Nothobranchius furzeri: one gene and its partner. The protein of the gene in region 2 purifies or fractionates together with the protein of the main gene of each other region. This does not show direct contact. Links are inferred from orthologs where the notes say so. Each region holds a gene or a part of one and is shown on either strand. Other genes may lie near its edges. The genes, in order: rpa1 and ppp1r12a.

Region 1 (4,588 bases), on a different chromosome or scaffold from region 2:
GAGTTCAAAGTGTTCACTCGAGTCCACACACTTTGGCAACCGCTGCACTTCAGGTAATTAAACTCTGAGATCAAGCAGCACACACAGAGAAATGAACAATCCCTCCTGTTGATGAGGAAGATGGCTGCTGCAAGCCTTCACTCCCACATGGCAGATTCCAGGGATGAATGTCTGCTTCGTCACTCGCAGACACAACATAGATGTGGGAGTCTGCAGCTCTGCTACTGGTCTCAGAAATCTGAACGTAAAATTTGTATTTTATTGATCTAATCAACACTCTGACAGTTGGTTGAGTGATTGTCTTTCACAGGGAAAGAACAGGAAACTCCTCCCGATGCACCAACAGGAAGCATAGTTATGGAAACAAAGCACAGATTTTTGTTTCATAAGAGGATAAAAATAAGATTTCTGTACGCAAATGTCAAAATGTCATATAAACCTTAAGATTGCCTAAACCATCAGAAAGCTGCTGCCATCTAGTGGACATTTTGTTTTTTGTCTATGGTCAGCTTTTTCAGCAGAAAAATTAAATAAATATAAAAGACAAAAGCTTGAACTTACCGTCGTTCTTGTTTTGTGCCTGCAGTGGAGGTCTGACTTCGGGGCCTGGAGCTGCAGGGACGGGGCCAGACTGCTGGCCTTTATTCTGACCTACAAACAGAACATCAAGTTACCACAAGCCTATGGCAACACGATGACTCAATAATGAGTCACCTCTGTTTCTCTCACTGCCATTGAGTTTTACCATCAAAGTAAGGAGTAGGGTCTCCAATTTTACCACTGACTTCTTCAGCAGGTTTGATCAATTCGGTTTCCAAAATGATGACCACTCGGCTGCAATCAGATTTTACATCAATTCTTGTTCATTTTTGCTTTTTAAATAGCAAATTTTTATATTTGCTACGAAATCTGCATACCGTCCATCCTTCAGAATATTGGTCACATGCTTCTTCAGAATGCACACACAGTTTGGGGCGAGGATGTTTTCCTCAGCCAAGTAGTTCAACTGAGTGGAAAGCATAAAGGCTGCAAATGATGAGGGAAAATGTTTGGTTAGCTTTACGTTAACAAAAAAAAAAAAACTCACAATGTGCACCTAAACCCTAGCCTAGAGAACTAGAAAAACTGTAGGAGTATCTGAAGATTTATGCTCTGCGGGTTGGTCTAGCAAGAGTTGAGGAGTTTAGAACCACAGCGGTGACAAAGCAAAACAAAGATGGCATCGGCTCAGGAACGGCACTCTTTTTAAAAGGTGTTGGTATCAAATTTGGGCGACTTAGACTTGTGCAGCAGGTGGAGGTACCTCTTCGATAATGTATGGCAGACTGCCCTGTCGAGCGATTTCCGTTGCTGTCAATACGTCACGTTGTTTGTTGCTCTGATTGGTGCTAGCACTGTAGTATTGCAAGCAGAGACCGTTTAAAAAACAAAATGTAGATTCTGCCCCAAGACCGAGCTCAGTCTATGGGTTGTAGCCAGACTATATATCAACATAGCTTGCCAGGCTACCTAAAACCTTTAATGATTGCAAAATAAAACCACAAAACAAATATGCATTCCAGATGTCATTTAAATGTTAATCATGTTGTCGTTTAAAACGCAAATAGATGTGCTGCTCATCACACGATTCGTACACCAACAGTGCTTCAGGGTAAAATTTTCCCTGACAAAGTAAACAAAGGAGATAGTGCCAATTTTTTCCACTAACGAACAAATGTCAAGGTCACAGCTGCCCTGACCTTCTAATTATTTATTTACCAAGAACTATCATGCAGGAAAAATGAGATTTGAGTCTATGAAACTAGACAAATTAAAATTGCAAACGGAGTAGCTTCTCTCTAAAGATGCAGTCTCACTAACACTTTCCATTCAAAAATGATTAAATGCCAAACCCAGGGTCAGAGACTGGTTTGATCCAAATGTATATCATACTTACATGACAGTGTGTGGCGTCCATCACTCATCATCACCCGAAAGCGAGGTATCCCACTTCCTCCCTCTATTTTGCGAATGTTCTAAAAGTTAAAGAAAAAAATAATAAACTCTTGCAATTTAATCAAGAAATCTGCAAAAGCATTTAACTAATGCCTGAGTTACTGATTTGTTGGAATTTGCTGAAGCAGCGTTCTGAAAAAGAGTGTGGCGTTTAATGCCTCTTCTAAAATATATAACGCACAAAAAGCAGCTTCACAAGTTTACACAGCTTTCAATACGTCATGACGGTTAAACAAAGAGGCCGCATGTGATGCGGGCCTTAACCGTGTCAGAACTAAAAACGAAGCCCAAAAGTAAACATGCGTTTAAGAGCATGATACGTTTAAATGGTATTTCACGTTTTCGTTATTTACCACCAGCTGAAGAACTGCGTCATTCCAACCGGAGCCATTAGCTAAAGCCTGCAAACAAAAACAATTAACTTAATGTAACACAGCTGTTTTGTTTTAACAGTAGAAGCATTCATTTTTTACAAAAGATTTCTAAACACATGTACGCTACTTCAAATTATGTTTCAATTTACACCAGCTTCAGTCAATATTAGTTTTTAAGTTTCCATTAACCTCAATGTAAAAAATGTCGCGCGAATGCAAACACATAGTAGGAAAATGCCTACAAAAACACGTTAGCATTTTAGTTGAACTGACATTAACTTTACCTCAATCGCGCCTTCTGAAAGTTTAGGCATGTCTGACGATTTTGCGTTGAAACTGAAGATTACTTTAGCAACTGCTAGACAGACGGTTTTCTACAACTATCACTGCAAACAGCTTGAAGTTTATGCCTGTGGCGCCAACGGCTCAGGCATCGCGCGCTCAATTTGTCGAGTTCCGTGTTGTCGGGTTCCGTTTCCGGTAACAGATCTGACTTCAGTTTCCAAAATCTGTCAGAACAGCAAGGCTTAGAGGTAAATTCTCACTAAACTGACCGCAGACCAGCACTGAATTTCTCAGCGCAAAACTGAGTGACGTTTGTTGCGATGCGTTCAATGACATTTGAAAACAGGAAACACCCGATTTTGTGTTTTCAGCGATTTTTAAAAAACACGGAATGTTAGTATTATGCACAGTTTTACTCGTCGCATAATAACTATATTTGGAGGGGGAAAATTATATTCTAAGAAATTAACTAATTTTACCGTAAGTCATATTACAATAATATTGTAACTCCTAAAATGTGTCACATGGCAAGATTTGAAAAGTATTTTTAAATAACCATTTGATTTAAATGTCTCAGCAAATTAATTCATATCAATACTGATTTAGATAAATTGAATTGATTTAAGTACACAAGAAAACAAATTAAAATATTTTAAGAAAATGCTCAGTCATGCAGTAATGCTCAAACATATGATATTTTAGACTTTACATGTTGACACATTCCACATGTGGTGGAAAATTAAACCATCAAGTAACATGACAGGGACTTTTTTGTGAATTTAATGTTATCGTTTAATTTCTTGACCATCACATCTTATACAATACAGTCATGTAAAATGAATATTCCTCTTAAAATGACTATTGGGCTTTAAAGCATAATTATTTCCTTATGAAACAAACAAAACGTTTTTATTTTCACACATATTTTGATCCAGACTAGTCTGTACAACTGCTAACTCCTAGCTTTCTCTCAAGAAATGGACAGATTTGTATTTCCTATTTAGGACCCCCAAATGAGCTCATGTGATCTTTGTCATATGAGAAACCCATTTTATCTTTGCTTCCAAACTGTCCTTTCTGCAGGATAGGGGCTCCAGGATTAGGATTGTTGATGACACCCATGAAGATTGGTATTTGAGTTACGTCATCCATAAGCACAAAAAAGAAGGGCTTAGTGAGGTGGAAAACTGGAATTGCTGCCCGTGAGATAACTATGTTGGTGGCTGCAGCAGCTTCTGCACCATCCTCATTTATTTCCATGCTTGACTTGTGCATCACACTGGACACCAGCAGGGGGCCGTCTGCAATATCAGCCAAGTTAGGATTCAGGAACATCTCCCCGAGGCCTGAAAAATATAAAAAATAAAAATTACATTTTGAGGCTCAGTTAAGAAAATAACAGTGGTTTTCCCAAATTTTTACTTAAAATTGACATTTATTAAAATGTATCTGCAACATTAATAAAACATCTAAAACTTTACCTAGTTTGGTAAGAACCTCCTGTAACTCTTGAGAATACTCCAGTTTGAATTTTGGAACTTTGACCTGAACGGCCGTCTCTTTGGGCAGGCGTTCGTATAAGTCAGAGATATTTAGCTTTGCACACAATGCAGACACATTAACTTGTCCAGACTCAGGCATGACCACCAACAAACTCATCAGCTTCGTGAATGGGAACCTTGCAACCTGCACAAGAAGACATCATGTAGCAGTGAAACGGGTGGGTTGGAATCACAGCTGCGGAACAAGAACTTACTAAACAAATGAGGGAGGTTAAAACTACTTCACCACCACAAGGTTGCATAAATAGATATTTATATTATATTTTTACATTCCTAAAGGCTCTGGTTAAGTCTGGAAGGCTTGATTAGAACGTTTGTACGAATCTCACAATAAAACAGGTCAGTAATGATTCACTAATCATTAAAGGTGTA
Region 2 (4,567 bases):
AGAGAAAATACTGTAGCAAATGTCATCTTCATACGAAAACCTGCTCTTAAAAGCACAACTGGTTTAAATTTAATGAAAAAAGCAGTCATCACACTTTCCTCTGATTAGACATGTGGATGTGAGCAATGGCGTGACATCACTGATGACCTCTGCCAACAGAGACATTTAACGGGAATTCTAAGATCATTTACTCTCAAAGCAAAGAAAATGAGATGAGATCCCAGGACAAGTCCTACACTGTGATTTTGCCCAGTAAAAATAAAACTTTTTCTGCAAGATGAGGCATTTTACTACAGCATTTAGGTACAAAACTCAGACTTGGTAAGATTAAATAATAATACAAAAACATATTTGAATGATTCACAGCAGCTTACACAGTATACTGTACCTACTCAGTAGAATTACATCACACAATGATATACTAGTGGCAATATAAAATATACAATAAATCATTTTAAACTCATAATTAGGAAACAAATCTACTTCATACTCTTCCAACCTCTGGATCAAAGCAAAAAAAACTTTCTCTAAGCTTCTACAAATAATCTGCTCATTCTGATCTCACCACTGAATCAGTACAGTTCCACTAAGCTTCGGAATAAGGACGGGGGCATTGGTTGGTTTGAAATGCCTCCTCGTATATTTGGTAGAACACATCTTGATCTATAAACACATAATGCCTATTTTAGAACAGCTTGTGGAACATAAACTTACAAAGTGTGCTTATGATAAGGGACTTTTGATTAGTTTCAGTGAAATTGTTGACAATACAAGGGTCTGTTTTTGCTTTTAAGGAGAATGGGCATTTATTCGCTTTCTATAAATCGGTTGCCTCTCTCCAACAGTTGGTTTCTCTCTGCTAGGAGTGTCTAATGCAAAAATCTGCATCATATGGTCATCTCCATGCCACATACAAAGCAAGTGACAGTCCATGAGTGAGACAAAATGGAACAGACACTGGCTGGGATTAAAACAGGAAAGATATACAATCGGGAGGCTTTATAAACTTTGGATTTACTGAAATAAAGTGAAGATCAAGGTTAAATTATCATCTAAGACGATCAGACAATAGATTCACTTGATGATCATCTTAATTTTGCAGCAGTTTTACATGAAATATTAAGAGGATGTCTGTAGAATAGTTTAGGATTTTTTATTAGGTATTTCCATCAACACACATGAATATTTGCGTCTTTGACTCATCAAAATACAGCCTCACAAGTGGGTGCGTAATAAAAATGAACTCGATTTGGGTTCAACAAGAACAGTTCATCGTGTTCTAAAGCTAGTTTATTGCAGGCCTAGTTTATAAGCAGCATAACATTTAGCTGTTTTTCCCAGAGTGAACATATCTGTCCCACCTTCAAGAGGACACGGGCACTACGAGCACCGGCCGATCGAATATTTAAGTGTTTTTATGTGATTATTTTAATCCAGGCCCCCTTTCTAAATAATTTTACGGATGAGGTCGCCGCAGTCTGATAACACTCCGAGCACATATGCTAGTGAACGTTGCTAAAGAGATTAGCAGCAAAACTGTTAGCTTGGCACGGATGGCGTTTCTGTCAAAACAACAAACTGCCAACCGCATACACATTGGTGTTCTGATACACGCCACAAAGACAAGAAATGTAAAAAAAGAAAGAAATAGAGACTAGTAAGAACGAGGCACGTCGTCCGTCACCTCGGCTAATGAATGAATCGAGTCAAAATCAACTCCATAACAGCCAGCGTCGGTTATCTTAGCATGCTAACAGCGCTAGCTCACAACTCACTACATTTTATTCTTCATTGTAAATACCACTGCGTTTATTAATTATGTCAGAAGAAATAATACATAAATGTCACTTAAAGACATCAATTAGAGTTAAAATAACAACTAATGTCCAATAACTTTGGTTTCACCCCCTGAGAGTCGTCGCTGCTGAGGGATTTATCAACAAAACGACTTTTACTGCTAGCCAGGTAATAGCCGGTGCTGTGTGCTGGGGGAAAACACTCTTTCACGAATGCACCCCATATAGTTAACATATATATTTTAAAAACAGTATAACTGATGGAACGTGGGGTCTTGAGGGTAGCAAAGTGTCAACATTCGGTTTGTTTCTTTAGAGTTTGCCATTCTACGCCAGTGGAAGTTCTTGCGGCACTACACCATCCGCTGGTGGAATCAACTGATCTGGGATTATGCTTCTACACATGACAGCTACTACTAAAGAGACTACTTAGGACACATTTTAAGTTTTAGATTTTACACAGCAATCACTGCACACGAGAAAACGTCATTACTAATTTGTCTAAAACCACTCCAGAAAAAAGACGACATAGCTGTGGGATTTTGAGCTACAACAGAACAGCAATTAGACTGCACCCAAAGGCTTTAATACGGATCGAAGCTAGTCTATAAAGGCTAAAAGAAATCAAACTAAAAAAACGAAGTTCTGTAATATGTGCACAGGCATTAAACCAGTTAATAGGGCTCAGGAAGGTGCTAATCTATTCTCAGCGTCGAAAAAGGCGAGTGTGCAAGGTAGGTAAACAGCGAAGTGAGAATGGCTTCAATTTGACAGGTGTTACAACACAGGAAGCAGTTACAGACGGTAAACTGATGCTACGGTGCAAATAGATAAAATGGCCAACAATGGCAATCAGACACGAACCTGGTGAAGAGCAGTGAGACCGTCTACATTGGCGTAGTTGATGTCAGCGCCCCGGTCAAGTAGACGGAGCACCTCCTCGGTATCGCCGCTTGAGCAGGCAGCCAGAAACACGGCGCCATCATCGAACTTCACCTTCGTCTTCTTCTTTTTCAAAACAGAAGGTTCCTGGTCCGTTTCCGAGCCCAGCCATTGCTTTAGCTGTTCATTCCTCTTCTGCTTGGCGTCCGCCATCTTCATCCCCCTCCTGACTCAGACTTCTTATCGTTGTCCGAGAGAGGGTATACTTTATAGTGCCACTATCCCACAACGCACTGGGGCGTGGGAAGAGGGGAGGGCTGTGGAGGAGGAGGAGGGGACACGGCGTGAAAGAGGACGTCTGGAAATTTCCGATAATCTCGCGAGAACTGGAGCTCAGGCGAGGCAGCATCAGATCAGACTGCAGCATAACGTCATTAGTTGGGATCTCTGGCAAACCGATGGGACATATAATATTTTATGTACATGATTTTTGAGGGATGTGACTAAAATTGAATCTTTACTATTCAAATATGTGTATAAAAATGAACCGAATGTAAAATAGAACTAGTTGTAACTGCAAATTCATTATGTAATTCAATTCAAGTTCATTTATATAGCGCCAAATCACGACAAGAGAAGTCTCAAGGCACTTCACACAGTAAACATTCCAGTTCAGGTCATCATGGACGTAATTTTGGGGGGGACAGGGGGGACATGTCCCCCCCACTTTTTCCAAAGTCAAGATTTGACCCCTGCACTTTTTACCATCCAAAAGCAATATTACGCTATATTAAATTGACACTGGTTGAGCTCTAGGACAAAGCGGAAAACAACTGTTTGTGTTGAAGCCTGTTTCCCATTAGAGCATAGTGTAAAGATACCCCCCCCCCTCCCGTGTCTCCCCCACTTCTAAAGTGAAAATTACGTCCATGCAGGTCATTAAGCCAATCAGTAACAAGCTTCCTATAAAAAGAAACCCAGCAAAGTGCACTGAGTCACTGACTAGTGTCAGAGTTTTGACAGCAATACTTTATTGTTTTTTAAGTTAAATTGTATAATAATAATAATAATAATAATAATAATAATAATAATAATAATAATTATAAATATTAGTAGTAGTAGTAGTAGAATATAAATATATATATATATATATATATATATATATATATATAATACATTTTGATTATCATATAAAAACAAACCTGAAACTAAACTACAACATATATTAAATCCATGTTTTTAAGTTTAAAAACTTTTTTTTATTTTATTTTATGTTTTTGCAGTGTCTGGTACGAAATATTGTTTAAACAACCCAGGGTCCAGACCAGGAAGCAGAGTCGTAGTTTAACCCACCCCTCTGCAGCTTCTGTACTGTTACCCACCCACTACCCCATAGAGACAGTGTCCTGTCCACGGCCAAAATCACACAGATTAAATATCAGGCTTAATAAAGCAAATCATGGAAATCTCATAAATATTAGAACAAATTCTACTGAGCAGAAAACTAGAAAAATTAAATGTGGGTTGTTGAACATTAGATCAATTTTTTCAAAGACTTTGTTAGTTAATGACTTGATTTGTGATAATCAGATCTCTTTGCTCTCTCTCTCACAGAATCCTGGCTGCAGCAAGAGGACTATGTTAGCTTAAATGAGTCGACTCCTTCAAATTATTTAAATCATCATATTGCTCAAAGTACAGGGCGAGGAGGAGGAGTAGCAACCATTTTTCCGAGGAGGAGTAGCAACCATTTTTCATTCAGACTTATTAATCAGTCCCTTACCACTTAATAGCTACAGTTCGTTTGAACATCTTATTCTTAGTTTTCTTAAACCAGATTGCAAAACTGTAAAACCACTCTTGTTTGTAGTTTTATATCATCCACCAGG

The links.
Region 1: the proteins of ppp1r12a (region 2) and rpa1 fractionate together in Homo sapiens (co-fractionation; 3 studies listed by BioGRID, with this or other methods). This does not show direct contact. The link is inferred for Nothobranchius furzeri from reciprocal best matches to the Homo sapiens genes PPP1R12A and RPA1.

The regions. Positions count from the first base shown.
Region 1 is NC_091753.1:47,658,844-47,663,431, reverse strand, and holds the start of rpa1 (replication protein A 70 kDa DNA-binding subunit), read right to left. Parts: upstream 2,804-4,588; 5' UTR 2,684-2,803; coding exon 2,654-2,683; intron 2,397-2,653; coding exon 2,349-2,396; intron 2,016-2,348; coding exon 1,937-2,015; intron 1,027-1,936; coding exon 918-1,026; intron 835-917; coding exon 746-834; intron 652-745; coding exon 562-651; intron 1-561. Other genes in the region: serpinf2b (serpin peptidase inhibitor, clade F (alpha-2 antiplasmin, pigment epithelium derived factor), member 2b), read right to left, coding at 3,651-4,000, 4,136-4,340. UniProt on the Homo sapiens protein: As part of the heterotrimeric replication protein A complex (RPA/RP-A), binds and stabilizes single-stranded DNA intermediates that form during DNA replication or upon DNA stress.
Region 2 is NC_091741.1:40,817,967-40,822,533, forward strand, and holds the start of ppp1r12a (protein phosphatase 1 regulatory subunit 12A), read right to left. Parts: upstream 2,999-4,567; 5' UTR 2,898-2,998; coding exon 2,661-2,897; intron 1-2,660. UniProt on the Homo sapiens protein: Key regulator of protein phosphatase 1C (PPP1C). Mediates binding to myosin. As part of the PPP1C complex, involved in dephosphorylation of PLK1. Capable of inhibiting HIF1AN-dependent suppression of HIF1A activity.